Linked DNA regions of Struthio camelus. The protein of the gene in region 2 purifies or fractionates together with the protein of the main gene of each other region. This does not show direct contact. Links are inferred from orthologs where the notes say so. Each region holds a gene or a part of one and is shown on either strand. Other genes may lie near its edges.

Region 1 (7,048 bases), on a different chromosome or scaffold from region 2:
TTTTAACTACAATCAAGAAAATATAAGCTAGAAAAGATACCATAATTCTGAGAGTATACAACAGGACTTAAAACTAATACTACTTCTCATGCTGATTTTAATCAAAGGCCCGAGTAGTCATTTAATTGAGAGTACCAGGCATTATTACACTGGGGTACTAAAAAGGACGCATGAAGCTGACAGCAGATACTGACTGCAGCCTTCACAAACATCCTCACCTATCATTGACAGGCAACTCTCAATACATCAACTCGGAAGAAAGAGAGAGGGGACAAATGATTAGGGTGTTTTGATTTTACTATTATTCTTCTAAAAATTCAGAAACTAGAAGTAGCTTGCTTTCCAGAATAAGTATCTATATGAGAAGTAACTTCATAGCTGAGCTTGCATCTTGCTGTCAAAGCAGCCTTGGATGTTTAATTTGCAGACACATCCCAACTCCTTGAAGAGTTGTACTTAAGAATCAACTATGAAGTAATGAAAAATGCTGTATTCCAGGGAAATCTAACGTGCAGCACAACCAAAACCTTTATCCAGCCTGCTCCCAATTGTCCAAGGAAAGAGGGCAGGCAAGAGCAGGCTGAAGATCTTCACAGTAACTGCAGCCATCCTCCAGACACCATCTTTTCCAGGGAGTCCCCACTGCTCCAACCTGCTCCTCACCCCATCATGCAGTAGTCACACCACAAAGATGTTTCCAGGAATAACAATAGCCTGTCACTACCAAGAACTCCCGTGATGTATTTCCATGGGGGCGGGGGGAGTAAAAGGAGAAAGACTGAGGTTGAGAGCATAAAATGCTTAGAAAGCAAGTCTTCTGTGCTACCATCTTTCAGAGAAATAGTTTGAATGATTTCTTGTTATGGAGTGTATGTGTGTATGCTCAATCAATCTGTAAATGCAAAGAAGCATATACCTATTGTGCATGCACAGATTAACCACACCAGAGAAAAACTGGGGTCAAATGGTTGCAACATGCAACTTCTTATAAGATGAGGAAAAGGCTACATAGTCCACCCAGGCAACACCACCATTCCCGTTTTCTGTTCTTGCAGAAAGAAGCCAGCAAATATGCGGTTGCAAAGTTTACTGCTAAGCACAGAGCTGATGAGAATTCTTATGTGGATATAAGAAAGCACGTGTTACAGGTTACAATATGAAAGGCTAATGCTATGTAAATAGACCAGTATCTTGCTCAATGAATGGGAGAAAACACATAGTACTTCATGGATCCTCAAGACAATGAAGAAGAAATGGCAACCAACACTGAAAATTTCCAGGATGAAAATAAAAAGCCTGACTGCAGCACTTCAAGCTTCTAACGCAAGACTTCAGCATGTTGATCCACCAGTGAATCTTATTTAAACACATCCCACAAAGGTTAGACTAGTTTTTCACCATGGAGTAGCTACCATCAACTGACTGTTGAAGAGAAACACGTAACACTTCTGAAGTACAAGATTTCTTGAACTGACCTGTTTTCACAACTAGCTTTCAATAACTTATCTCACAAAAACACAGCAAGGTGACTATCCTCTGAAAAACTACACGAGAATAAAGAAATGCTCCAAACAAAACATTCCAAATGCAGCAACGCATGTTTATGTTTTTTGCCTGTCCCCATGTTACCAACACAATTTAGACTCAAAGAAGTCAGTACTATGAAGTGACATGCACACTCATCTGATACTTTAAACATGCAACAAGTTATGTAAATGCCAAGTAACAAAAGTAAACTCATGCTAGCTAGAATGTTTGTTTCTACAGAAGTCAGATACAGATTAATTACTCCATTTACTAAAAGACAAGGATAATGAACTTTAAGAGTTTTGTTAGTTTACTCTAAAGAGTAAAACATTTACTCTTTAGCTGACACACAGTTTCTCGTTGATTAGGTGTCATTATCTTTAAGTTAACACTTCCCCGTAAAAGTTTCAAAACAAAGTCAAGATTCTACAAGTTATAGTCATGCTCCGTTTTTTTTTCCAAGCAGGTGTATGTGCAAGTAAGTCAAAACTACCTACAAGTACTTCAACGAGACTTATGTGAACATTTTCAGTGAATAAGCACTACAAGTACGCTACACTAAGAATCAGTAATGTCTTCCTTCATTTACTGCTAGTGTTGTGAAAGAGAAAACGGTAGCCTTCCCCAAAAGATTTGAATTTTCTTCTCATTCACTTTAAGTTAGCCCTGCACTCCAAATATAAACTTTGGGACGTTTTTAGACCAGGAACATTTGCCCAAATTCTACTTTAGAGTAAAACTACTTCAACTCATTCACTAACCTGTGACATAACGACGCACAGGAAAGAACACTGCTATACATCGTTCAGGCAGATAAAAGATGTAAGTGGAGAAACAGCTTGCGTTAAGGAGTCTAGAGCGGCACGTCCCAGAAGAAACAACGGCACCAGACTGCAGAGCTTTAAGCAGATCGGGCCAGTCAAAAGAGCAAGGCAAGTTGTTTAAAGCAAACGAACCGCTGATCTGTAACAGCACGTGCGTTACTATGCAAAACAACAACACAATGAGAAAAAGCACCCGGCTTCCACCACAGCGCCGAGTTCCCGGCAGGGGCGAGTCAACGCCAACGCCGCCTGCACGCCCACAAGGCGAGAGGAGCCAGCCGTTACCTATGAGCGCCTGGAAGAGGTTACTCTGGAAGATGCTAATGACGCGCTCGATGGAGCTCCGCAGCTGCCGGTCCTCCGCCGTGCTCAGCTTGGCGCGGTACTCCTCCAGGAGGCGCAGGGCGCGCTGCGTGTCTGCGGGCGGAGAGCGGCCACAGGTCACCGCGCGCCGCCAGCACCCGCCGCCGCCCTCCGCGCCGCCCCGGCCCGGCCGCTTCTTTGTCGGCGGCCCCGAGAGCGCGGCCTCGCCCCCGCCGGCAGCCGCCCTCCGCGCCCGTCCCGCCGCCACCGCCGCTCACCTTGTTTCCGGACGGGCATGGCGCTCCCGGCCGCCTCACAAACTTTGAGCCCGGCGCGGCGCAGCGTGGGGGGGGGGGGGGGGGCGCGGCCCCCCCTGCCGGCCGGGCGGAGGCGGCCGCGGCGCCGGCCCCGCCTGCCTCCCTGCCCGACCGACCGGCGAGCGGCTCCGCGGGGGGCTCCCGCCCGCGCCCGCCGCGGCGCGGCGCCTCGCGAGAGAGGCGGGGAGGGGAGGGCCGGGCCGGGCCGCGCTGGGCTGGGCTCACGGCCGCTCGCGCCGCCGCCGCCGCCGCCGCCTCCCGCTCGCGCCGCTCGGAAATTCCAAACTTTCCAGCCAAAATGGCGGCCTGGCGGCTATGGGGAGCGCACCCCCCCACGTGACCGGGCCCGGCGACCGCCCAATCAGAGCACAGCTCGGCTCGGGGCCGGTACCTAGGCGGGGGGGGAGGAGGAGGCAAGGTGAGCGCTCGCCGCTCGCCGCCCGCCTTAAAGGGGCCGGCGCTGGGCACTGCGGCCCGGCCCCGCCTCGCCCGCCCCGCCCCGCGGGCCATGGGACCCGGCCCCGCCCCGCCCCGGCTCGCCCCGCCCCGCCCCGCTCCGGGAGCGCCCGTTGCGGCGGCAGCCTGACGAGCCCGCGGCGGGTCGGTGGGGCTCGGCGCGGCCGTTACCGCGGCGCGGTGCCCGCCGCCCCCCCCAGGTGCGGGGCTCCCCGGCGGGTCGCGCCCGCTCCCGCAGCGAGCGGGGCGCACGGGGAAGTTTGGCGATGCCCCGGTACCGGCCGCGGGGAGCAGCCCGCAGAGGCCGGCCGAGGCAGCCGTTAGTTAGCGCTGCGGGCGGCGGCTCCCGGGCGGCCCGGCCCGGCGCTGCTCACCGGCGTCTACCTGTTGCGCTGAGGCGCCCTCAAAGGAGGCGCAAACAGGTTCTTGCTGTGACGGGGGAGAGACAGCAGACGGAACGAGCCCCGAGCGACGCGGTCAGAAACATGCGCCACGTAAACGATCCCTGCAGCGATATCGATATACCCGTTAACGGGGCAAACGCACACGTAGTAACGCTGATTGGAGGTAATTCCAGTGCCTGTCTCGGCCAGGGGTTACTCGTTTCTCGGGCCGGTGGAAGCTCAAGCAGAAAAACCTCGGCTCTGAAAAACCGCAAACTCCGTGTGTGTGCGTAGGAGAGGCAGATGCTGAGAAGTTCAAAGCAAATCCCGCTGATGTGATTTTTGATCCAGGCTTGCATCTCTCTTTACGCTTTTTTTTTTTTTTTTTTGGATTTAGATACAGCTGAAAATGTACAAGAGCTTAAACCAGGTAGCTAAAAAACATCTGGAAAACTCATGCAAATTTGAAAAGATCAGTCTGGAAATCAGGACCAGATTTGGCTGTGGTCCTAATCTTAAAATAGGGAAAACTTACCCTGCAACAAATCTAACCCAGATCTGGGAAAGGCCTCTCTTGCATTCTCCAATACTCCCATGTTTCCTAGTTAGATTTGCACTAGCAGTTTCTCCTCCCCCCGCAGCTATGTACTGTGAAATTGTTCACATACCTTATTGAAGAAAACACATTATAATATACATTTAATGTATACTGACACACATTTCCCACTTTCCTCCTTTCTTGTCATATTTTCATACTTTCAGAGTTTTGGCACGAAATTTTACCAGTTCACATGTATTTTTAAAGGAAAACGTGTCAAGAAGGAGCACTGGCAGAGGCTTTCATTGTTTGGCCTCTTCAGTTTCCACTGTTTACAGCAGCAATAAATGTACTTTAAAGGGGCCGTAGTCCTCTTGATGTCAGGGAAATGTATACAGAGGGAGAGGAAGAACAGCCTAAATTTAGCTAGCAGAAAGACATCTGCAGCAGTTAGGGTGGTTTGCTGAGCGACAGAAAAGTATTGTTATAGAGGAAAAAAAAGAAAATTTTTGCAATTAAAGGTACCAGCATAAGAAACAAACTACTCTTTCATAAGCAGGATTTGATGTTTCCAAGGCTTTTTATTTTAAATAAAAGATAACCCCAAATATATACTCATTGTGCTGGGAATGGGGAAATAACCCCATACAGCACCTTGAAACAGTATTTATCGCTTGTTACTAATGCTCTGGGAAGAAAAACACACATCAAAGACAGGGTCAGGATGATGGATCAGCAAGCCAGGAAGCAATTAGGTGAACCTTATTGCACCTCAGAGAGTGGTGTTGGTTCCCGGCACTTCTGTTTCAGTTCTAGGAGTATATTTGTTGGCTGAAAGTGGTTGAACCAGGTTGCACAGTACTAAACTTCAGTATACAAAGTGGTTTTGAGCACCTAGCATACATAGAAAATATCCCGTGAATGAATGACTACGCTTATATTTGCACATTACAGTAAGAGCCTGTATTATAAAGCTGCCCTCTATTACACGTCTTATTTTTCAGGCTCCAGTTTTCAGAAAATTGGGTAGTTCCCTTGGAGAGGGGGGAAAACTCAATACGAACCAGACCATCATTTATGCCACGGTTTAAGCAATATAATTTAAATTAAACAATTACAGGCAGCATACAGAAAGGCTTGTGCTTAATTTGTGACTGATGTGGTCAGCATACAAGTCAGCTTTATGCTGAGCGCAACGTATCTTGGCTGGAGTCCAGAGCGACCCTTGGGATAAGAACTCCAGCAGAACTAAGCCAAGAAGCAGTGTCTGCCTCCCCTCTAGCCTTCTTGCCCACATTAGCAGCCGGGGATCTGACAGACAGCTCCTCTCCTCCGCCATTAAAATCCTTCTTTTGCAACTGCTGTCAGCAGCCTGTGTGGGACCCTCTGTCTGGGACCGAACCTTTGGCAAGGGCAGGAGACTTGCCACAAGGCATGCATTGCTCCACTCATTCAAGGAGATTGTGCTTTGGGGCATATCTGTGCGAGAGCAGGCAGCTTGGGACAGCCAGGAGGCAGACACAACACGAGTGTATTGCCCAGATGTGGAGAAATATTCATAACTTGATCCTAGCCCACACAATCCATGCACGAAGGGAAAAGCAGGCTGTGTGCAGGCTGTGTGCAGGAGGCTAGTAAACCCTGTTGACAAACCCATAATTAAACAGAGACAATGTTTTCTCATTTTGAGAAACTGTCAGAGCTTGTTGGTAGGTACCTGCTCTGAAAATGATCACAGCAGTGACCCGAGCCGGGGGTTTGTACCTGCCTGCGCACTCGCTCCTCGGGCAGACTCGCTGCCAGAAGCTGCTTTGGAAATGGCTCTTTGTGCCATTCCACACACCTGCATAGCTGGCACCTCACTGTGCGGGGACAGGGGGCGCTTTCCAACTTCTTACCCTGTTAGCCTTGAGTCCCACTGGAACATGTTGATGGCCGCGTAGACCACTCAGGATGGGAATGTAAGTAAATCTGGCTTGCCCCGGCACCACACGCAGTAGCTGGTTAGGTACGACAAGCTTAGATCAGGAGACTTCAAGAAACATTAGCTAGATCCACACACGCTGCAGCAATCAACACAGCAAAGGCCATCTAGAAAACAGGACAAAGAGGACAACGGATGTCACCACATTGCAGCAGTTTGCAATAACCAGTATGTCCCAGAAAACATGAGCTCAGATGAACTCTGTTTAGGGAGGATGGGCATTAGAGTAGAAGGTGAGGTAAACTAACTAACTAAATAATGGTACAATTATTTATTTCAAGTTGGACACGAGTGCATAAGCTGGCATATTGCCAGAATCGGTAACTTCGGCAAAAAGAACTGCTGTAAACTCAGGTGTTTTTGATATTGGGGTTACTAATGAAAAAACTTGAAAATAAGAAAGTTAATCGTTTGTATATCTTATGTTTGTCATCTGCTTAATGCCTACAGACTAAAAGCAGTCTCCATATAAGCATACGGCACAGATGATTTCACTTTTTCATGCAGAACTGGGAATTGTTACTCATAAAAGGATCTCTGACAGCTGCAGAAAGCTTTCACTTCACTTCCCTTGCAGCTCAATGCAATGTTGCACAGCTAACTGGGGGAGCAATGAAAGTAATGAAGCCTAATTTCCTCTGGCTAATAAGGAATGAAGTCTGAAGGAAGTTAGCTTATTATGCCTCACCTCGTCTAGATTCTCTAATGTCTGATAA
Region 2 (7,850 bases):
AACAAAACTCCACTGTCTGAACAATTGTCACCGTGTACTGAGGAAAATGTGCTTGTGGGTGAAAACTGCACCAGCTTAAACATTATACCATCACCATTCACATACGGGAAGTGGTAAATTCTGTCATAGCGAAGTAGTGTTTGAAAAGAGTCTTTCCTTTTGTATAGACTACTAAAGAAAAGGGAAAAAGAGAAAAAGACAAAGATTTGTCATTGTTTCTCTGTCATGGAGGACTATTCTGTAAAGAGAAGACTATTGTCCTTAAAAATTTAATGATGAAAGGGTTCCCGCGAAGCTGTGTAACAGAGTGTACGCTCACTACATCACACAATAAGGTGCATTTGTCTCATTTGTATGAGGCCTTCTATAGATTTTTTAAGATATTTATGACTTCTACATATTTTATAAGTTTATTAAAAAGGAACACTCATAAGATACATACTTTCTTCTGCAAAAAAACGGATTAATTATTTTTGAGAATTAATTGTAATTAAGATTTGTTGATGCCCTGGTCTGATTCTGCTTCCTTTGTCAGCACTGTCATCAGTAAACAGCATTTTCATCTGTGCAAGAGGGGTGAAAAAAATGGTAATGACAAGATTTCCAAAAAGCAGAATAACAAGCAGGGGTTTCTATATGTCTGCTACACGCTCCCACACTTGCCAGGAGTGACTAGAAAAATTCTGAAACAACTCAAATAGTCAAATTTTATGTGGAAAAAAATATTTGGCATGGAGGTTAGGTGGCACATACCAAAAGGCTGGACTCTTTCTACACGTTAACCAGTGTGTGAGAGATTAATCAGAAAGTGTATTCTGTGACATGTAACAACCAAGCAAAAATCTGTTTTGTCACGTGAAGATAGAAAAATTGCAAGTATGGGCACAACAAGCAGGAACCACGTTCTCTGGTATGTATAAAACCCTTGACTCTGACAGGGACAACAGCAATCAATCACAGTGTGTGGCAGACCATGAAACTCACTCTGGGCTAGGCCAATGAATTAAGGCATTGCTGAAATTGCGAATACTAATACAACTGTCAGATTTAAAGTGATTAAATTCAGTGGTATTAAAGCAATAAAATTCTACCAACATGGTAGTCCTGAGGCAAAGGGATATCTTAATAACCTAAAAATTGAATTTGGACTCTCTTCACTGTCCTGAATCATAAATAAAAGTCCTATCATGGTTAATTCGGCCTGTCAGGTTTCCAAGGCAGACATTGTTCTCTGTGGGCAGCAGAGATTCCACTGCAATTTTTGTAAGTGAGTATTGCGTCCCGCTACCCATTTCTGGCCAAAATTTTTTTCTCCTCATTGGTGTATTGGGTTACGCAATTGTCAGCTCCCCCTAGAGTAACGGGCCACAAACTACCTTTGAGCAACTAGTTAGATAATTATTCAAGCAAAATTCCTTTCAGTTTTGACTTAACATTTGCCTAATAATGTTTAAAGTGCTTTGAGATCATTCTTGGCCAAGTGCGTGTGAAAATAAATATACAAATACTGTCTGTGTGGAATTTGTACCATCTGTGCATTAAAACAATGCACCAATTAGCACAGTTACTCTTCTAAAGATGTTATTGGGACCATAAAATATTAGAATACCATGTTCCAATGTTTTCTATAGCCTCTAAAGATTCTTACAGTCCCTCCTTGTGGCTAACACATACCATTGGGATGAAAAGGAAAATATTATCTACCAGGCCCCTGAGGAATGGTCCCATAAACACACAAGCATAGGCCTATACACATGAAAAATAATTTTCCAGTATAACTAAGACATAAGTTTGCACTGATAGAATTGCACTGGAACAAATGCACAGGCACTTTCTTATTCCCATTTTCATGGCTTTTTTGGTTTAGCGCATATTTAGTAAAAAAGTATTTAAGCTAAACCAAACCAAGCTACTCTTGAATCAGAATATCCACGAGAGCTGTTTGTGAGAACGTCTTGCTGCACTGCTGTAAATAGTACCTCTTTCTCATGAGAAGTTCGAGCGTGAACTCTGCACCCCAGATAAAGCTTGAATGAAAGTGAGAAAGTTCTTGAACCACTCTTCTTCCTGCCTTTTCCCTAGCTAATTCTGGAGATGTCCTTTAGTATCTGCACTCCCTATCCACCTGCCTATGTCTAACACCTAGAATAAAATGGCCCCATGGCCATGGCTGTAGACACTGTCATAAAAATATTATTAAGAACTTATGAATTAAGTAATTTATAAAGAAAGCTCATCCTCTTACTCATGCACCAAAACCTCTTCTCACCTAAAGTAAACTGTGCTTTCATCCCAAGCTAGCTCACACTAGAGACCGATTCCCACTTTTTCTTGGACTAGTAATGCAACTATTTTCCAATAAAGACATAGACAAAATCACTCGAGTATTGATATTCCTTCAACAGCAATTCTAGAGTGTCACCGCATCCACAAAAGACCTGCAGGACGTGTCTGCTCCCAGAAGTGTTACTGACAAATACTACAAATTGCAGCGTGAATGTTTCATACAGCTTTAAAGTGCAGCTGCTAACACTCCGGTTCATTCAGCAATGAGGATATAAGTACAGTAACCCTGACAGAGATTTCACAAGCAAGAATGACACAGCCAACGGAGTCTAAAATAGTAATTGAATTATACTTACAGTTAGCAAAATGCCTACAGTGAAGTTTATAGCTAACAAAATATATAAAGTGAAATGTAATGTTTACATCTTGCCTGCATCTCAGTCATTCCTGTGCAAATACCTTTTCTTAGTTATTCAGGAGGAGTACCCCCTCCCCCCCCTTTTGGGAATCACTTCTGAGACCTGTAGTGTATTTCAGGATAAGAGTTTGACACAGAAATTTTCATTTGCTGTTCTGTATTGTTTGATGATATGCTATTTGCTTTGATTTTCTTCCAAATTCTTGCCAGAATAGGGATTTCAAGACTAGGATGGCACAAATATTTTGTCACATAAATTTTGAAGCTGTCAGTATCCACCTATGCTTTTTCTTTTTCTTGAGCAAAACATAGCATGTTATAAACTCAGTAGTTAAACTCATTCTCTTCTTTGGGGCAGGATCAGACTTATGACTTATACAGTGGTTACTTCCTTGATGCACTAAAATAACTCTGCCATAACAATGCCTAGCTTTTTAACTTGGACCCTGTTGCAAATATCTCGAAGTCTGGAAAAAATGTGCTGAATGTTACCTCAGAAAGGAAAAAGTAAATGGGTATATATGCTTTTTTCTTTTTCTATATAGTCTGCTCTTTTATTTTCTTCCCCTCCTTTGTGGTCCTCCATTGGCATTCCATTTCTTCTTCCAGGGGAATATCAAGCCTGTCACTCTTCGGTTCTCCTGCAGGACATGGAAGAAGTGTACACACCAACTTTTAGCCTTTTTATTAAAAGGGACAGCAATGTCAAATTTCATTTCATAGCTTTATTTCATTTGCATAGTTTTCAGTTGGTTGAGCTCCACAGGTGTTGTGAAAAAGCAAATACCCCAAAAGAATAAGCAGTTGCTTCAATTGTTTCTTTTCCATTATTTTGTAAGACTGTAACTCCGCTAGTCTTCCTGCTATCCACAGAGCTTCTAGTGTAAAGACCTAACTTTCTCAAGTAAAAAATGTTTAGAGACAGCAAGTTCCCTTCTGGGAACAAAGGACAAACAATGATAAGCAAGTATTCAATTAGCAACGCTCTTCACAGGTCATAAACCAAAAACCCAAACTACTTCTTCCTTTTTTTTCCCCTACAGCTCACCAGTGTGCAGCTATAACTCAGTGCAGATTGCTGGAGCAAAACGTTTGAGTTGGATGGGGCTATGATGCAGACAGTGGAAACACGATATAAAATTTGCTTTCAGGTTTTATTATTCTCATAACGTTGTATTTCAGAGCAGAAAGGTCTGAATGACAGTCCGTTGTCCAGTTCAGTGGGTCTAGAGGAAAGCAGACCAGCTGTTTTACTTCTGCATCTTCAGTCTTTACTGAAGTCAAAACGACGCTACTCCAAAGATACATTTATTCTTGTCATGTGCCTTCTGGAAAAGCCTTAGATTATAGAAACGCTGCCTAAAACTCATTTTCTCCCTGGGCTCATCTGTCCAGAACAGGCTGTTTAAGGTGTCGATCACTTGGAGCAGGATGGTAGCTCTTACACCACTGGGGCACCAACATCTGGGTTTCATTCCAGAAACACTCTACACCTTCCACGGTTCCAGCTGCTAAAGCATTTTTTCTCGCTGGAAACGGGTTTAATGCTGTCCACCTGTGAAACTCCCACTCGTGTGACCTTCTCACCGAAACGCGCACACCGCATCCTTCACACGGAGGGGCACTGGCATCCAAATCAATCACAGACAGCAGGGAGAGTACATCCCTGTCACCTCGGCTGCCGCTTTTAAGACCTGTGGCTGACCGAGCAGAACCAGTCTCTTTCAAAGCAAAAAAGGCAGAACGCACCCGGGCCGACGTCGCCCGGCCGCCGGCCGCTCTAGGTGCGCAGCCCCCCGCCCCGGGCTTTCCGGGCGTACAACACCACAACAGAAAAGGCCGGGGGGTGGGGGGGAGGACAGGTCCCGGCAGATGCGCGGCCGCCGCGCTGCTCTGTGCTTTAGGCAGGCTGCGGGGCCGGCGGGGGGGGGGGCGGCTGCCTCCCCTTGCTCACCAGCCGGCCGCGCAACGGCCGCGCAACGGGCCGAGCGCTCACCGCTCCCAACATGGCGCCCGGCGTCGCCGCCCGGCAGCCGCTAGGGCCACGCGCCGGGGCGGGGCGGGGCGGGGCCAGGGCGCCCCCTGCGGGGCATCGCCCCGCCCCGCCCCGCCCCGCCCCGCCCCGCCCCGCGGCGCTGCGTCACTTCCGCGGAAGCCGGCGTGAGGAGAAGATGGCGGCGCTGGGCGAGCCGGTGCGGCTGGAGCGAGGTGAGTCTGTTCCCGGCTCTGCTGCCGCGGCCGGTCCGGTCCGGTCCGGTCCGGTCCGGTCCGGTCCGGTCCGGTCCGGTCCGCCGCTACTTGGGCCTGGGCCTGGGCCTGGGCCTGGGCCTGGGCCTGGGCCTGGCGCTGCCGAGCTGGGGCAGTCTCTCTCGGTCTCGGGCCCCAGGGACGCGCCCGGCCGGCCCGAGGCCGCGGGATGGCGGTGGCGGCCCGGCCCGGCCCGGCGCTGTGCGGGGCGGGTCTGCGCCGCCCTGGAGGCGGCGAGGGGGCAGCCGGGCAGCAGATGGCCCTTGAAAGTGTTTTCTCTCGGTGCCGGTTCCGTGCCTGCGTGGGTTGGTCTCGCTTCTCTGGCGTTTTCTTTCGGCAGGCGCCGAGGGTTTTTCTCTTGCTGGGCTTCGGCTTGTGAGCGGGTGGCGGCGGGCGCTCCGCCGGCCCTCGCCCCGACCGGCTGTAGGTGCGTGTGTGCAGCGCCCTCGCTGGGGTCAAAACTTCCGCCAGCAATTTACGCGACCAGCTGACTCCTTGTTTCTGCCTTTTCCACTGGATTGTTTACTCTTGATCAAAGCTAAATTCTTGAGTTTAATTTACTGCACTGTGTCTTAGCAGCAGGCCTTGTTTTTTTTTTTTTTTTGTACAGGAAACTTTGCATGAACAAACAAAACATTTGGTCATGAATTTTGCTTAACTCTTTACACTTTCATGTTTCTGTCTTTGGCCTGACCTTGTCGTTTTCAGTGCTAAGTTGTACTGCTGATATTGTGTAGTATGTAAGTAGAAGCAGATAAAATCCAAAACTGAATTGTCTGTTTCTTCTGTAGTACACGTCTGTGTCTCTTATCCAGCATTCTATGAAGCAATAATAAATTCCCTTCAGTATGGCTCTTCAGAATTGTGCCAAGCCCACAGGAGCTCTGTGAGGGCATCCATGTATAAGCAGTATATATGACTGGTATATTAGGATGTATGTAAAAATAGTGAATGGAATATGGAATTTTAAAAGAATAACGAGAATCAAGAATTCTATTCTTGAAAAGCAAAGCAATTATATGAAGTGTAGGTGACTTAGTTGAATTGATTATTTTCCCATTGCCGTTCCCTTTGGGCCCACCATCTTTGCTCAGCATTCTAGATGCTTCTGTATGGATGTGTAACTACATATTTTATATGCCCACTTCTTTGTGGTTGATACTGTTAAGTGTTACTCACCACAGAATTCAGTTCTTCTGTTTGTCTCCTCTCCTTACTGTTCCACAAGTAAATCACTTGTAATGTGTGAGGGAAGGTCTGTAAATAGTACAGTACTTATGTAAGAACTTTACTTCCCACTCCACAGCTTATCTACCCTCCCTCCTCCAAAGCTTGTTAATTAGAGCAGCTGCTTTGGCGGTGGATTAGTTGCTCTTGGTAGGTCTGCTGAGTTAAACCTCAGGCAGCATCCCTGTCCACCTCATTACCCTGCCACTATGCTCTACGCATGAAAAACAAATCTGTGCAGTTACTTAGGGATCAATGGAACAAAGGAGCTATTTAAAGTCTTCTGGCACGTTAGTCTTTTGGAGAAAAGAAGAAAAAGGGACTACAGTATAATGTCTGTATAATGAAGCTACAGAAGTAAGCGCTTTCTTTACAGAAATAAACAACCTCTGTTAATTCTATGGGGTTGACTGCAAATAACCTTATGAATCGTTGTCAGCATGAAAATGAGCATTACTAATGTTGCTGGCGTATAGCATAAGAAAAGAGAGGCTACCGTAGAAAATGTGCTGATTTAAAGTGGTTACCATATGCTTACTATCAGGGCAAATGAAGATTCTCCCCTTCTGTTCTTTCCTCTAAGCTGTATCACAGCCACCACCACCCAGGTTCACGGGAGTGAAGCGATGAAACAACATTTAACGTTTTGAAGTTGTTCTTTTAGCTTAGTGATATATATGATAAATCGACATACACCTTAGGAATGCAGACTATTTGAACAGAAGCAGCAGAAGTGGTTATTTAGCAATGTCTAACAATGCAATGTCTGATGTTGCGTTTTTCCTCCTTTCTATGTTTTGTTCATACGTATGCATGTGCAGAGTGGAGGCATTTTGCCGGTTTTCCACGTTCTTGGTTTAAGTGTGTTTTCCTGTCAGCACTTCAATCTGGTATCTTGTGGTCACTAAACTTGTGAAGAACAGGCAACTAATTTAAAAAAGAGGAAAAGGTTCAAAGAAAATCCATTTTTAAATGATGTGTGAGTTGAGCTTTACAATGAGTTTTATGTTTTTTATCACCTACCTCTGGAGTTATTTTTGCATCATTTCTGGCTTTGAAGGATTTTAACAAGAAATCTGTAGTGTTCATTTCAGTCTCTGGTTCTGAACAGTTGGCCAAGCTATAGTGTTAATATAATGAGGAAGAAAGCTATCAGCTGATCATATCCCAAGCAGTAGTTCAGGAGGAAGCAGGCGAGATCAACAGAGCTGTTGGCATCCCTTTCTTTTGTTCTCTGTGCACAGCTGTAAGAAGAAGATACTTTACCGCCTTTTCCCAGCTGGCTAGTTCCTTTCCAAAGCAGTAGAGCATTGAGACAGAGTGAGTCTTCAGCTTTTGATTAGCATTGCATTGCTGCATTAGTTTGGTGTGAGAAAGTTATGCTCGTTTCACTTTCAAACTAGTATAACTAGGTCCTGTTAAGGTGGTAAAACAAAGTAACTGTTGGGGGGAGAAAGTGCTGCTAATGGGATCCGTTGTCTATACCTACCTGATCAAGAGAAGCACTGTGTTAAAAGCCAATTTGTAGAGTGCCGAGTACCCAACTTTCCTATTCTGTGTGTCTGCTTTGGTTTTTTACTTCTCAGCAATGTTCTGGTCCTTTGATCTGAATGCTCATTAATGGTGCAAGTGCATCTTCTGGTTTAGTTGCATCCAATTCGTGCACACTGTG
Region 3 (7,204 bases), about 17 Mb from region 2:
TGAATTTCTGTTCGATTTATGAGTCTATCTGTAAAAACTGTGACCTTACTTGGAGTTGTACAATTTGAGATCTGAAGGCCTGAAGTGAGGCAGAGAATACCAGAAGCCAGAGAAGATGTTTCATCCAGATGAACGTAAATGTGAAAAGTGGTTACTGGATAGAAAGTAAAGGACAGTTCTAGGTGCTATAAAGGAGGAAAACATGACAATCTTTCTTTGAGTCCCTGGTATTTGTTGTGGTAGTTCAAGAAAGGCTGAAATGAAATTGGATTGCTCTATTAATTTCAAGGTTCAGGGTTTCTGCTGCTGGACTATGGGGGCCAAGAGAGATTTTTTTTTTTTCTTTTCTTACTTAAAACATAATTTAGCTTCTGCACTTTTAGTGATCTTTCACTCTTCTTTGAAACACTAAATACTGGATACAGCTGGCCCTACAGGTGCACTAGTTGATGTGTCTTGCTTACATGCTCAGGGTTAAACTGGTCACTAGATTTGAGGCCCGGAGAGATCAGATTGCTATAAATCAGAGCGGACAGGCCACTGTGGGATATTTTCATTTCCCCTGCAACACAGGGAGGATAGGTAGGAGAAGTCTAAGAAAGAAGGAGCTTGCTCTCATTTATTTTCAATTAAAGGAGACATTAAAATGGGAAGGGAAAAATCCTTATGAAGTCCTTGGACACAGGAGGAGAAGAGCCTATTTATATAGGTGCCAGTCATGAAATTAGAGAGCTAAAAAGAGGAGAAGACGATTTCTCAAAACCTCGCAAGAATAAAAGATCAAAAGGGAAAGGGCAGTCAAGATAATGAAGAAACAGCAGAAAGGTCAAGAAAGAGGATGGAACACAGACCCCGCCTTCAGGTAGGCAAGAATTCTTCAGGGATTCCATTAAAAATGTTTTGGCAAATAAGAGGGATCACACCAGTTTGGAAGGGATCCAAGTTGAAGTTGGAAGAGAAAGTACATCTGTTGTAGACTACATGTTCGGTGAGTTCAGAGATGAAGAGTTTAGAGATAAAGGGGAGGAGAGTAATGGGGCAGATAGATGGGGATTTCTTCTCCTCCAGCCTTTACTAACACAAGCACTGTTGCCACCGTGGCCCTTCTGACTTAGCATTCCTTTTTGCATCAGCCTGTAGAACCGCTCCTGGACGGTAAAACATAAATTCAGTTATGCAGTGATATAAAAGGGAATTTCTACCTAGTCCTTCTGTGATTTTTCATTCCCCCTCCAGAGGGCAATGGTTTCAAAGAAAACAGTTGGTCCTATGTTAGCCTCAGGACTCAACTTCACTGTCAGAAACATTTTTTTTTATTGATTACAATCAGCCAGATTTAGAATGATCAACGGTTATAGGAGTACCCTGCTGGGAGACAGTGATCCTAACTCACTTAAAAGTTATTTCATCAAAGATAAGCATTTTCTTTGTAAACGAATTTGTTTGCGGAATGAAAGAAGGTTCTACTTTAATAATAAACTAAGTTGCTTAAATACATTGGTTCTGTAGCTCCAAGTATGCTTTGATGATCCCATAATGACTGACAGTAAAGCCATTAGGAAGTGCATCTCTAAAATCAAAATGTTCAGGCTCCAAACTCATAAAAGGCCTCAACTGTGTGGGTATTTCTTTTCCGATTATCTTTCACCTGAAGATAATCATTAAAAGCTTTGAAGAAGAAGGGATGGAACAGCAGAGGCAGTACTCTGGTAAGTAATTTTCTGATTTCCATTAAGAATTGTCTTAGTAGATCCTCATATCAAAGATCAGTCAGCTAAGACAAAATAAATAGAGACTTTCCCCATCATTTTTCCATTTCCCTCATCTTCCTCATTCTCCCATTTGTCCTCTTTCTTTGTAGCTCTTGTTTTTAATTTGCCTGTTTTGTTAAATTCAAGCTGGAATGTTGGTTTTCCCACAGCAATTTTTGTGTTCTTCAGCATACTAATAAACAGTACCCACAAGGCAAAATGAACTGGCATTTAGATCTGTTCATTTAAATTGCTATCACAAAGATTTAAAGGAAAAGGTTATCTGGCTCTTTATGAATAATGCTGCTGATCCTGTGCGCTATTGTGAAACCTTTTTCAGGTATGACAATTTCTTGGTCTGAGAGAACATTTTAATCTGTTGGGTAGAATTAGCCAAGCATGCCTCATTCAAGCATCTTATGAATGGATTTGCCAGCTGGGCAAAGGCTAATATTAGGGTTTGTGAAAGCCTGAGGGAGGAGATTGGTTACCAAAGAAACAAACGCATCTTTAAGCAGCTATATTCAAGAGAAATCCCAAGCTCAGCCTTAACCTGGTCTGGCAACCCTTGAAAAGGATTAAAACTTTAGCTACAAATATAAGATAAGAGAACAAAGGAGAGAAATAGAAAATCTAAACTGGTGCGAATGTTTCTCTGATCTGTGATAAACTGCGTAACATTTTGAAGAAAACTCCTGTGTTTAAAAACTGGCTTTGGGCAACACACACACTAGAGGCACTGAGATTTTCACTGAGAGTGACAAGCTGTCAACTGAGGGAAGCTGTAACCAGAACTTGTGGCTTTTTTAGTCTGTTCACACCAAACTTTGATAGAGAAAAGAGAGTAAACCAGCGATCGGTTTGGATGAGGATGAAGACGAGACCACTGAATAGCCAACTGCTAAACGTAGACACTTTTTGTAGCTATTGTAACCTCTAAGCAAGTATCAGATTTTGAGGAAGTCTTTTTTGGTTCTCAGGTCCTTTCCCAAAACAGTGTGTAAAAAAGGGTTCACGTGAACCCTCACCATTTTCATACGAAGGTGGAAAGAACTACTTCTGGTGCTGCTCAGCCATGAGTTAGTACTGTAATGTTCTCCCTCCGTTTCCTTTGCAAAGTAAGTAATTCCACAGTCCACCCATATTGCTATTTCTTGTACTGCTTCACTTTTTCCACTCCTGCTCACTTGATTCAAACGCCCTTGTTACTGAACAAGGTCAGAGCTGAAACAGTTGATTCTGATAGTGAAGAGACATTGCTGCTCTGAAAATGAAAAACTCCAAGGGAGCCTGAGCCACAGTGTGAAAAGGTCTTAACAGTGTCCTCTGCAACTGACCGGACAGGACGTACATTAACGGCAGGTCTGTTGGCCATGTCATATGCTCAGGAATCATGGAATCTGGTTTTGTGGCTTAAACAGAGAGAATCTGCGTGTTCAAAAGGGATCCAAACAAAACATGGTATAGGAAGGCAATTTATAGGAAGTTAGAAGTGTGGATTTCATAACTGAAAATGATAGAGTTGTAATGATTAAACTGAAGCAAGAAGAGATGGGCAAAAAGGAGGTGTCTCTTTAATGGCTTTTTAGTGGCCTACGAAACTGTTTTTTCTGGCCTTGTTATGTGGAACTAGCTACCTTGGCAAGGTCAAGTCATCTCAGACTGCTGTATTTCTTTTAATGCCTCAGGCAACGGTCTTCGCAGGCTAGCCTGAAAAACAGGGGGCGGGAATGCAGTTTTTAGTTCAAAGTCAAACTAAACTGCAGCGCTGAAGATGTATTTCCCTGGTCTCGTAAAGCAGCCACGGTTATAGACCTGGTAAAACCGTGTTTAATGACCTCTTCCCTCCACTCCAGACAGCGGGTCTGTGCCTGACCCTCTCCCTGCTCTTCCAAAGCTGAATCTCAGAATAAGCATTTTTCTTCCCGTAACAGTCCGACTCGGCCTTCGGCTGGGATTGCGAGGCGACAAGGGGAGACGACGGGCAAGGAAGGGACGGCGGCGGCAGGCAGCGCCCCGGGCCCCCGCCAGCCCAGGCTGCCGGCGGGAGGCTGCAGGGCGGCGGCGGCGGGCGCAGGCCTCGGGGAGGACGGAGCCGCCCTTCAGGGAGCAGCGGCTCCAGCTGCGGTGCCCCGGCGCGACCCAGCGAGCGCCGCGCAGGGGCGGCACACGACGCCGGCGCCACGGAGGGCCTGGTTTCCGCCGTGCCCCCCGCTCGCCTCTCGACGCGAGCCGCCTGCAGCCCTCGCCCGCCCTGGAGTGACCATGACGGCAGCCGTTGGCGGCCGCCGCCCTCCCTCAGCGCCCTCCCCTCCCCCCTCCCGCGACGCGCCCCCTCAGCCGGGCGGCTCGCGCGCCCCCGCCGGTTGCGGCGGGCGGTGGGCGGGTCCCGCGCGTACGTGCGTCGGGGGGGAGGGGGCGGGGCGGCGGCGGCGCTGGGAGCGGGCGCGGGGGCGGGGCCGGGCCGGGCTGCGTTTGGCGGCGGCGGCGGCGGCGGCTGCGCAGCTCGGTGGGGCTGGAGCGGTAGTTGTGTCTGTGCGTGCGCGGGCTCGGCGCGGGGACGTGCGGGCGGCCGGCCGTGACTCCCAGCCGGTGGCTCGGCCGGAGCGTGACGACGGCGGCGGCGGCGGCGAGGAAAGGACGGTGAGCGCAGCCCGCGTTGCGGCGCGGAGCTAACAGGTCCCGGCGGGCAGCCGCCAGCCCGGGCTGGCTGCGGAGCCTGGCCGGCGGCCCTGCCCGCGGCGCCCGCACGGGCCTGCGCCTCCGGCCGCGCCGCGCCGGCGGCCGAGGCGGCCCTCGGGGGGACCGGGCAGCGCCCTGGCCGCGGAGGGCGGCCCGGGGGGGCGGCCCTGGCCGCGGTGGTCGCAGGTGCCTGCGCCGTTGCCGGGAGCGCGTGGGGCGGGCGGCGAGGGGGCCCGGCTCGCCCCGCCGAGAGCTTCCCCCCACCTCCGCCGCCGCCGTGCCGGGGCGGCTGGCCGGGGCAGGCGTTGCGAGGGCAGGCCGAGAGGTGATAGGAAGCGGCTGTTCTTCGCTGTGCTCTCCGTGAGGTGGCAGGAGTGGCCGTTTTGTTTGGGTGGGGGGGTGGGTGGGGGGGTTGTTTGCTTTGTTTTGGTTTGGTCGGTTTTGTTTTTGTTTTCAATAAGGGCGCACTTAATGCTTCTCTCCCTTCTTGCACTTCCGATCTGCCGGCAATTCCGTGTTTTGGAAACTTTTGTCTCTGTAAAGAGACCGCCGGTTTGTGGAGCTTCGCAGGATTAGTTTAAAGTAGGTTGAGTATGCCCTGGACTGCCAGTGTAGTTTAATGATCTGCAGTGGGGAACGCGCGTATTGGTGAGGGCGCGGCGGTACTCTGGAGGCTGCGCTGGGAACGTCCCTGCCCCGGCGGTGCCCTCCTGCCGGGAGCCCGGGCAGGGGTTGCGCGGGCAGGCGGCAGAGAGCACGGTGACTTGGAGCGTGCGACGTCAGCTTGCGCGAGTACCTTAAAGGACTTTGTATTTGGTCGAACTGAAAACTGTTGATATTTAAAAAAAAAAAAAAACTGTCCAAAATAATGACTTTAATGTCTCATAGGTGAGACAGACATTCTGGGGGAAAAAATTGAATAATCAGGAATATGAAAAGGGGAAAAGTCAGCTTGAAGCCCTTATAATTGAAATGTTTGGGCATAAACTAACTGCATCAGTTAGAAAAATACTTGTGTTTTGCATAACTGGACGTTGTAGTCGAGCTTTTAAAAAGTGACTGGTGTTTTTCTTTAAGTGTCTGCCGCGTTGGTGCGCAGCTTCAGGCGTCTTGAAGGGGCCTGTCTGTCTCTTTGGAGAATTGGGGTGTTTTTCCTGAATTTCCTAAGAATAGGATATCTTTGATGTGTCTCTGGTTAGGCGTCTGAGCCTGTAATCTTTTCTTTTTGATCTGTCATCTGAATTTTCACAAATGCTACTTCTTTTTTCTCATAATCACCTTAGAACTGTAGTTACACATTTAAATGTCCAATGCTGTAGAGTGTAGCTGTGTTTTGTACATATATTAACTGTTTGCCAACATACTGTGATCCAAAAACCCTCTGTATTTTACATGCTAAGCTGATGGTTTAACAAAGCATCAAATATTTATATTGCAGCACTTTGTGAACCAGTGTACTACAATGTTAAATTTAATTAACATTACTCTTAATACACGATCACTCTTTTCAAAGTAGCCCTTTCAAACTTTGCCTCCTTCTAATGTGTATCATGTGTCCTTACGGAGTATGGAATAGTTATGGGTGGTAGTTTGTGTTCTGTAGGAATTAGATGATGGTAAAGGTGGTGTTTTTACTTAAATTTTACTGAATTTGCTTTCACAAGATCTGAACTTACTTTGAAATGTAAATCAAAATATTTCTTCAGTAGGCTGACTTAGCTGTCTTAGGAATTTGCAAGAATTATTCAGACCATTGAGGGGTGCCGGGCAAGCAATATGTGATGTAGAACCAGTAAAAATGTAATATGGAGGTTAGCCTTTGTACCGAGGATTATGGACACATAAAACAATGTAATCTGAAGTTTATGTGTGTCTGTATATTTTTTTCCATGTAAATAATTATATTTTCATAACACTTTATTTGCTGCTTTGTAATCAAAATCTCTTACTATAGTGAGTTTGAAGTTGCAATCTTTCAAAAATCCTGCGGCATTTGTAGATGTAAATTCTGTTATGATGTTTCCTTAAAGACTGACGCTTAACATCAAATAATAAAAGTTGTAACTACCTGTTTCAACTATTCAGATTTCCCTAATTTGCACTTTTGATTAACTACATTCCTAATAAAATATTAGGCTTTAGAGTTCTGGTAGCTAAGAGTTCAAACAGTCCGCTGCTCCTTAGAAAAAAGGATCAGTATTTGTGTTCGTATGTCAAATTTAAAGTTCTTAAACTTTGTAGCATCTGGCCATTTAAAAAAAAAAACTTCTTAATGTGACAAGTAGTATTATAGAAAGGCTTGATATTACGGTGTTTGGATAATGGGCCAAGTGAGGCATTTGTGAATTTGAAAAGATATGCTGGTACATATGTGATGGAAACTGACTTGGTGGAAACACGGCCTATTCTGTAATTTTAAATCAGGTGTGCTGTAAAAAGTATTTTTCTAGTATAATTATCTACTGAAGCGCTTTATCCAGCACAGTGCTTTATCCAGTTCTGGCGGAATAAGTGTTTTATGTTTATGTCCTCCTCCCCACGCTTCTGACATAACTATGTAGTGAAATACTTTAAATATAATTCAAGTTGAAATGTGAGGCAGATTTCTAAACAAAAGGAAAAAATTATAGCCAGATAAGTTATTTATATGCCAGGATATTTTCAAATAAGCTTTTTTCTTTTTAAAGCAGTTGTGATATACTATGCCTATCTATTGATAGACACTTGTTTTATAGTCCCGAGGATGTCCAATTGCATACTAATGAAGAGCT
Region 4 (7,448 bases), on a different chromosome or scaffold from region 2:
TGAGTGCTTAGCACAGAATTGCTGCAACTCTAATTGAGGATATGCTGTCTGACCAAGAAGAAAAAGTTGCAAATATACTTTTTTGAAAACAGTAGCAGCACTTGTTTGTACACCACAGGCATGGATCTGACCATAGTCAGTCCCGTTGCTCAGAAAGTCTGTTGAAGATCTTAGTGGAGTGTTCTGGAAGGAAGCTTGGCCGTGGCTCTTAGAAACTCCCGTTGCCTACTTTCCTCGTGCTGAGAAGCCTGTCCTTATTTGTAGAGTCTTAGAGAGGTCAGAATGGTCCACGTTCAGGAAAGGTCTGCCATTAATCTGAAGGAACTGGATCTGACCTTGGCCTCCAATTTCATTACAAATAATGGATATCTTTAAAAATGTAGATGTGAAGGCTTTAAAAATTGTATTTTGAATTGCAAAAGAAGCAAAATCATGTGAATCACCTGTATCCAAAGAAGATTCCAGGGATTTTGCACCACAGCAACTGTGCCAGTTTCGGCAATATAAGAATAAGAACTGAAGCCAAGTAAAAAGAAAATACAATTTCTGTTTCTGAATCACATGATCGTTTAACATTTATAAGCTCCAAGTCAGTACCATAAAGTGGTGCTGGAATATAGGGGGAAGGAAAAAGGGGAATGGAAGAAATGGAAAGTTAACATGTAATATTTCAATTCTTACTAGGGAGTAATAGCTATCATTTATTAAGAAACAGTTTTACATTGCTCTGTGAAGCATTTTCTATGGCTTTTGAAGTTCTGCTATTAATGCAGAAAGAATTTCCTTTTGTACCGAGTTCTTTCTCATATGCAGTCTGTCACATGGTCAGTGTTGCCTTCTGATCTTTGTGGGCTGTCTCTACCCGTGCCTGTATCTTCCCTGCAGCGTTTCTCTTAAACACCTGTCCACACTTCTTTCTGCCTCGTACATCTTTAAAATCTGAATAATCCTTTGCCAATGTCCAAAGATCATCAGAGGAACTGAAAAAAGGATCATCATTTTCTCCCTTCCCCCCCCCCCCCCTTTTTTTTTTTTAAGCTCCCCACTTGGGTATGACCGTTTAGGGTTACGGACAGTAGCGAACACTTAATGCTTTCAATTAAGAATTTTACAACAGGTGAGGAGGGACTCACAAGCCAGGTAATAGATCCAAGAAGTGCCACTGACTTCAGAAGCTTTATAGAAATCATCAGCGCTGGAAACTGCAAATACTAAATTAGTCTTGTGTGATGTGCTAATAGCTAGGCTGGGCCTGTGTACTGCGCTGAGGAAAAGGTGGAGTTCAGCTCTTCAGCGCTAAGCGGGCCCAAACCAGGAATCTGCCACTTATATATTAACCCATTCCTCCCTGCTCTCTTTGCCAAAAGTAAGTGCTGCTGTACTGTAACCTTTATCTGCCCCGCGTTCACAAACCCAAAGATGCACGCGCGTGCACACAGGGTGTGTAAGTCTTGGCCTCAGGTCTCCGTTGTGCTTGAGGGAAGAAACACTGATGACAGAGCAAAACTAAACTCAATGTATTCAGTGTCTACTTTACTGTTAAAAGTGAGTGAGGAACCCCAAGTCAGATTGGTTACTTTTCTTTTATCTCACCTGTAATTATTGTTGAGTTTGGCTTTAATGTTGCAGGAGGATAAATGGGAAAGAAGCCTGGATTTGGCTTAAATTTGAAATAGAAATGCAACTGCAAACTCCTAAGTTTCTTTCAACTCAGAAAACCTATATGTAGGCCAGCCAGCAGCAGGAGTACACCATTAATACAAATCTAAAGAAGGTGACGCTGGCCTGGGCTCTGAGGGAGAGCACGGAAGTGTCTGCGCTGCCCTGTGCGGCCTCCTAGGGGAGATGCATGCAGCTTACCAGAGGACGCTCTGGGTTGTGTCTGCAACCGGTGCAAGAGACTGAAAGCAAAGTAAACTTTGAACTAAGCTGAGTAAGTGAGAAGGAAGAGCTGAAGACTCCAGAGATATGTTCTTATGCAACAAATGCATTACCCAAAGTCCTCAAGTGTGGTGGATAGACAGTTAAGTCCTGTGGTAGCCTTTAGATGTTCTCAAAGACTCCCTGGCCTAACAGTAAGTTACCTGCCTCAACATTTGCTCTGTCTGACACTAGAATACCCCATGTTTGGTACCAGCTGAGAAATGAATCAAAACTTTTTGATAAGTTACACGAACTTCCTTTATTCTGCACTTGGACTGGCTGTGACCATACAAGAACACCAGCTCATATGAGCTGGCTGTGGCTTCACAGCTGTTCAAATCACAGTCCCAACATGTAATCAATACTGTAGCTACAGCTGCAGAAATTCCAGAAATTCCTGCTCTTGGTTGCCTGCAATGTGAATCAGGATGTGATCCCTAGGAAAATTGATGCTAATACTGTTATCTGTTTATTTGCTTCATCTCAAAATAAGCACTTAATTTTCTTTAAAGAAAGTATGTTTTGCCCTAGATTTATTAGAAAATACCAAATAATGATATGATATAAACTTGCATAGCTCTGTGATGTCAACAGGCACTTAATTACAGGGTTTATTTCTGCATTACTTGGAGGGAGGAACTGCTGCTTTGTCATGGACAGTAAAGCAGATGGATACTAAAGCATATGCAGTAAGCCATATCACTGTTTAGTGATTAAACTGTAATGTTATATTTTAACAAGTTTATATTGTCTTAGTCTTTGAATCCAGTCTACTATCACTCATAGTGATGACTTTAACATATGTCGCCTACCTGAATTTCCTGTTCCCCCCCCCCCAGTGATAGGTACCCCTTTCCAAGATTCTCCTGGTAAAACGTGGTTGACTGTAAACCATAGAATAAGTGACTTCTCACAGTCCTTTTAAATCTCTAGGAATTTTATTTTTAATTTCAACAGGTGCACTGTAGTTTAATGGAAGAAAAAAAAAAAAAACAGTTTTCTTCATCCGTCATCTCTTTTCGCTAGCTCTTAGCGAATTACTAGAGAATTTGAGTCCAGATGCAGCCCCTTAGCTCCAGGGATGACACTTTATATAGCATGATGCAAAAAATAACCCTTAGCTGTAAGTGCCACGCAGTTGTTAGTCACATGCCATTTTTCTGAAGGATTCTAGAATGCAAACTCTTCTTGGATTTCTGGCACATGACTGCTTTGCTTTTGTCATTGTGAGTCCTGAGTATTTCAGAGATTAAAAATAAGATAAACAGCTCTGTCTAGTGGCAATTTCAGTAACTACATCAGAAAGATATTTCTAACAGAATTCAACCCATATGTGTTGAATTAAATGAGTTTAAAAATAGCCAGCTAGCCTGTGTTTACACATGACAAAATGCTGTAGGTACTTCTGGAGTTAGACTGAATAAACATATAAGGCCAGATTCTGCCATTAGTTTTTTCCTAGTCCTTGCAGGAGATTTGCTGCCTTGTATTGTTTTGAGGGAAAACCAAATAAAAATCCTTGACATTTTGCTATTTGTAAAGCTGTGGTTGTAATCTGCAAGGCACTGTGATTTGCCTCCCCCCCAACACACACACGCTCCTTAAATAGTCACTGCTGGATGTTCAACGTCAGTCTCATGCTCGCAAGCTTGTGGTTTAAGGTGGAAACCTCGTAGGAACAAATTTCATTTTAGCTTAGATTTTTTGTGAGTTCCATGACACTTCCATATGTAGTTCTTAACAAAAACCACATAAACGGGTAAGTTATTCTGGACCCCGCCAGAAATTAGGGGAGGGGGGAAAAATCACCTGCCTGAACATTTTTGAGCCTGAAAAGATTCTGTTTCAGACCTTCTCTGAAAAATAGCACCCCATTTCTCGTGGGCTACTCTCCTCCTCTTGCGCTCTGAGAAGTGCATCATGCCAACGACCATGGGGCCCAGAGTCACGGCACCCCTGGGTAAAGCTGCTGCCGGGGGGGAAGACCCATCACCAGGAGGAGCTCCTGTGCGCAGCAGAGCCTGGCTCAGGTGGCTGCTGGTTGCACTCCTGTCTGGAGGAGGCCACAGAGGCAGGTTGCTGTGGTTTGCTCAATGTTATCTGTCCACGCCGTTGCTTTAGGTTCTGCCTGTGGCAACACAGCTTGCAGAAGAGAAAAGCTGTTTTGGCACTGGTTCTAAAGAATAGATGAATATATCATGGCAGCCTTCCCCAGAACGGTCATTTCTGGTCAATGAAGCGCAGCTCTGGCAAAAAGACAAATTGCCCTTGATCACTCCTGTTATCTCACTTACTTCCACCTGGGGCAAAGCTCCAGCTGCAGCTGAGTTCCTGCACGCAGCAGACCAGAGCAGCTGGGAAGGCAGCACCTCTGGGCTCCTGCAGGTACCTGGGGGCAGTCGCCAGTGCTGTCTGCTCGTGGCTGCTTCCTCTGCATGAAGAAGCAGGGTCGAGCTCTGCAATGCCTTGGAGGAGGCAGTGAAAGTGGGGCCAGTGCTCCCTGTGGGAACGCACCGGCTGAGAAGGAAGAGCCTTGTCAGGTGAGAGGCAAAGGGTGGGCCAGAAACCAGCAGAGGAGTAGGGTGTGGAGAGGGCGGCTAACTGGCAAGGAGGGGCTATCAGAGCTAGTAAGGAAAGCATACTTATTTTTAAATAATTTTTAATATCATCATTTCACTTACTGTTTGACATAATGTCATTAATGAAGCTGTGTCCCTTTAGGCTTTTTTGTTTTGAAGGAAACTGATCTTTATTGGTACACCAGTGATGTGAGATACAGTCAGCTTTCCTAGTGAGCCTCAGTTATGGGAAGAGTGGGGACCGCTCATCTGGACAGCTCTGTAGGCATCTTTAGCTTGCGATGGAGAAAGCTCATTCCCTTGATCATAAGCCCTGTCTACATTTGCCAGAATTTCTGATTTAATGAGATTTAATAGATAGAAGATTTATAGAATGTGATTTACGTTTTTTTTTTTTTTTCTTTTGCCTTCTGGCGGTGTTTAGGTATTAAAAAAAACAGTTAGAAATAGGACATTAATATGTCTGCCTTTGTGGAAAGATTGTAGCTGCAAGTATGTACGTTCAAGGGTTATAATAGACTGTGGCCAAAGGCTAAACTATGTATTGGTAGTTTATTTTATACAGTGACTAATAAATTTATCTAACAACCTTCAGCATATTCTTCACAGTATCCCTTTGGGTAGCTTGTTACCATCTGAAGGAAATTCTAAAACTTTTAAGAAATTTGGAATAACTTCAAATCTTCTCCAAAATGTCACTAAAATGTGTTGTTTTGGGAATACCACAATGTTTTTACAGCAACGTTCTGCTTCAAAGAACTTCATTTAATCTCATGATTTTGGTATCATAAAATTATGTATGATATAGGAAAGAAACAGTACAAATAAACTGGCAGCTGTTCTATTAACAACTTCGAATTCTCTGTTTGAAAAGATGCTTCTATAAATGCCTAAAAGGGTAAATCAGACGCTTGCACAGATACTGCTACTTGTCGTCTATGCTGAGTCATTATTTTGTTTAAGAGCATGGGTCCTGTTAAATGAAGGCTAAGTGCAAGCTAGTTCGGGTGCACCTTTGCATACACAGAATCATTTGAAGCTGCCAGAGAAATGAGATCAAGGCTGTGACAACAAATTGCAACAAAGACAAAGATTCTTTTTCTACAGCTTGCTTGCAGAATGCTCTCTGACATGCTGTAGAGTGCAAAGCTGTCTCTCCTCCATTTCTACCACCCTGACCTGCATCAATAGACTTAGACTCTCAGGTTTCCCATCGGTAAGCACTGCAAGCTTTAGACGACAAGTATTTTTCATGAATAAATTCTTACTTTGGAGTTAGGAAAACAATTATCGTTTATAGTAAGATTGGTCTTTGGATAGAACATGTCTGTACCATGGTAATTAGTTAAACGTGAGAGGCGATTTTTATTTTCTAGCGGTCCATTTGCTCACGTGGATGAAATCCTACTTACATAAAGTAAGTAGACAAACAGGACTTACTCCTCAGTTGGAAATAATCCTACTGATACAAGCGCTTTTATGCCATTAGGTTGCAGAAACCTTTTTTGAGCTTCATCCTACACTATATATTCTGATATAGTGAAAGCAGAGTAACCTTTGAGGGCAGGCAAAACGAAGTACTGCATTTGAGAGGCAACCTCTTCTACTTTGTCCCCCTGGCTTTCTATATCTAAGGTTTTGCCTGGGGTCTTAAAATATGTGGTCATCTTGTCCAGTGATCTGTTAATAGCAAAACTAATTCTGTCAAGGTTAGATAATCCTGAGGTGACAGAAGCAGCTGCAAGGTAGGGTGCTGGTGATATCTGCTCTTTTGATTCACACTCCGTACCCCTGGTTTTGTTCAGCTTGACACAAAGGCGGTTGGCTGGCGTTCCACTTCTAGGCGATGACAGGGAGCAGCAATTGCTTATCTTATTTGCAGATGACCAGGATTTCCCAGGCTTTTGGATGCAAACAGTATTGGCTCCGTATCTTGAAGTTCACTTAGTGTTGGACCCAACAGTCAGTCAGAATCCATCCATGCTCTAATTACAGACAGGATTCAGAATGGGCAGTTTAGCACTATTACACGTCTTGAATAGAGCATGTTGTGCGGACACTGTTTGCACTTAGTCCTTAGTAATTACCAGGTCCTAAGATGTTACCTCTGGTCTGTAAACTTTAACAGCCAGATACCCGCCTACCTCTGTCTTACTTTTCTTGCTCTGCCATACTCAGTTGCGCGCTCATCAAGATCAGAGATTTCTGAAACCCGGAGCCAGCCCACTGACCTCCTCCGTACCCACCTATCCTTGATCTCCTTTAATTGACTCCTAGAGAATGTTTCAAAGCATACCTTTTTTTTTTTCTGTATGATGTTGATAAAGAAGATTTTTCTGTCAAAAGGGAAAATGAATCTGAAGGGAGAAGTTGGTGAAATTCGTGGAATTATAATTGATTTTGTGTATTTGTGTAGGTATATACATACGTATGCATCTATGCAAAGTACAGCCTAGATCTGAGGCCAGAACTGCTTCTATTAATTGTGGTAAGTCAAAATAAGTAAACAGAAATAATAAAGGGATTGCACAAAGCAGTGTGAGGTAAAGATTCAGCATGCTAGACTGTCTACTGACTTCAGTTTACAGTAAGAGCAGAGGTCAGCGCCTAAAGATGGAACGTGTGTTCAGTAAAAGTTGCTCAAGATTTCAGATGAACTTCATTCATACCCAACAAAAGCAGCAGATAGCATGTCTGTGCTGCATTAAGAGGTTAGAGGTAAAAAGCAGATGCTGTCTAGATTGCGTAATAGCTAGCACAAGTCTTATATATTTAAAGCCTCCTTGAAAGAAGGACGCTGTTTTTCTAGCAGGGCAAGCTCAAGGCCAGCAGGCAGGGACAGCAGTAAAGTTGTGGCTAGTTACTTGAAAGAATCATGTGCAGCAGAACTTTTATGTGAAGTCTAAACTTGTATGTCTTTCTGAAATTTCCAATGAAGCCAACAGA

The links.
Region 1: the proteins of LIN7C (region 2) and DLG1 purify together in Homo sapiens (affinity purification with mass spectrometry; 4 studies listed by BioGRID and IntAct, counting the BioPlex papers as one, with this or other methods). This does not show direct contact. The link is inferred for Struthio camelus from reciprocal best matches to the Homo sapiens genes LIN7C and DLG1.
Region 3: the proteins of LIN7C (region 2) and PALS1 purify together in Homo sapiens (affinity purification with mass spectrometry; 3 studies listed by BioGRID and IntAct, counting the BioPlex papers as one, with this or other methods). This does not show direct contact. The link is inferred for Struthio camelus from reciprocal best matches to the Homo sapiens genes LIN7C and PALS1.
Region 4: the proteins of LIN7C (region 2) and ARHGEF26 purify together in Homo sapiens (affinity purification with mass spectrometry; 3 studies listed by BioGRID and IntAct, counting the BioPlex papers as one, with this or other methods). This does not show direct contact. The link is inferred for Struthio camelus from reciprocal best matches to the Homo sapiens genes LIN7C and ARHGEF26.

Annotation. Positions count from the first base shown.
Region 1 is NC_090950.1:18,055,527-18,062,574, forward strand, and holds the start of DLG1 (disks large homolog 1), read right to left. Parts: upstream 3,003-7,048; 5' UTR 2,952-3,002; coding exon 2,933-2,951; intron 2,769-2,932; coding exon 2,637-2,768; intron 1-2,636. UniProt on the Homo sapiens protein: Essential multidomain scaffolding protein required for normal development. Recruits channels, receptors and signaling molecules to discrete plasma membrane domains in polarized cells.
Region 2 is NC_090946.1:29,274,383-29,282,232, forward strand, and holds the start of LIN7C (protein lin-7 homolog C), read left to right. Parts: upstream 1-4,838; 5' UTR 4,839-4,875; coding exon 4,876-4,912; intron 4,913-7,850. UniProt on the Homo sapiens protein: Plays a role in establishing and maintaining the asymmetric distribution of channels and receptors at the plasma membrane of polarized cells.
Region 3 is NC_090946.1:46,765,841-46,773,044, reverse strand, and holds the start of PALS1 (protein PALS1), read left to right. Parts: upstream 1-4,188; 5' UTR 4,189-4,394; intron 4,395-7,204. UniProt on the Homo sapiens protein: Plays a role in tight junction biogenesis and in the establishment of cell polarity in epithelial cells.
Region 4 is NC_090950.1:32,963,557-32,971,004, reverse strand, and holds the start of ARHGEF26 (rho guanine nucleotide exchange factor 26), read left to right. Parts: upstream 1-4,444; 5' UTR 4,445-4,463; intron 4,464-7,448. UniProt on the Homo sapiens protein: Activates RhoG GTPase by promoting the exchange of GDP by GTP. Required for the formation of membrane ruffles during macropinocytosis. Required for the formation of cup-like structures during trans-endothelial migration of leukocytes.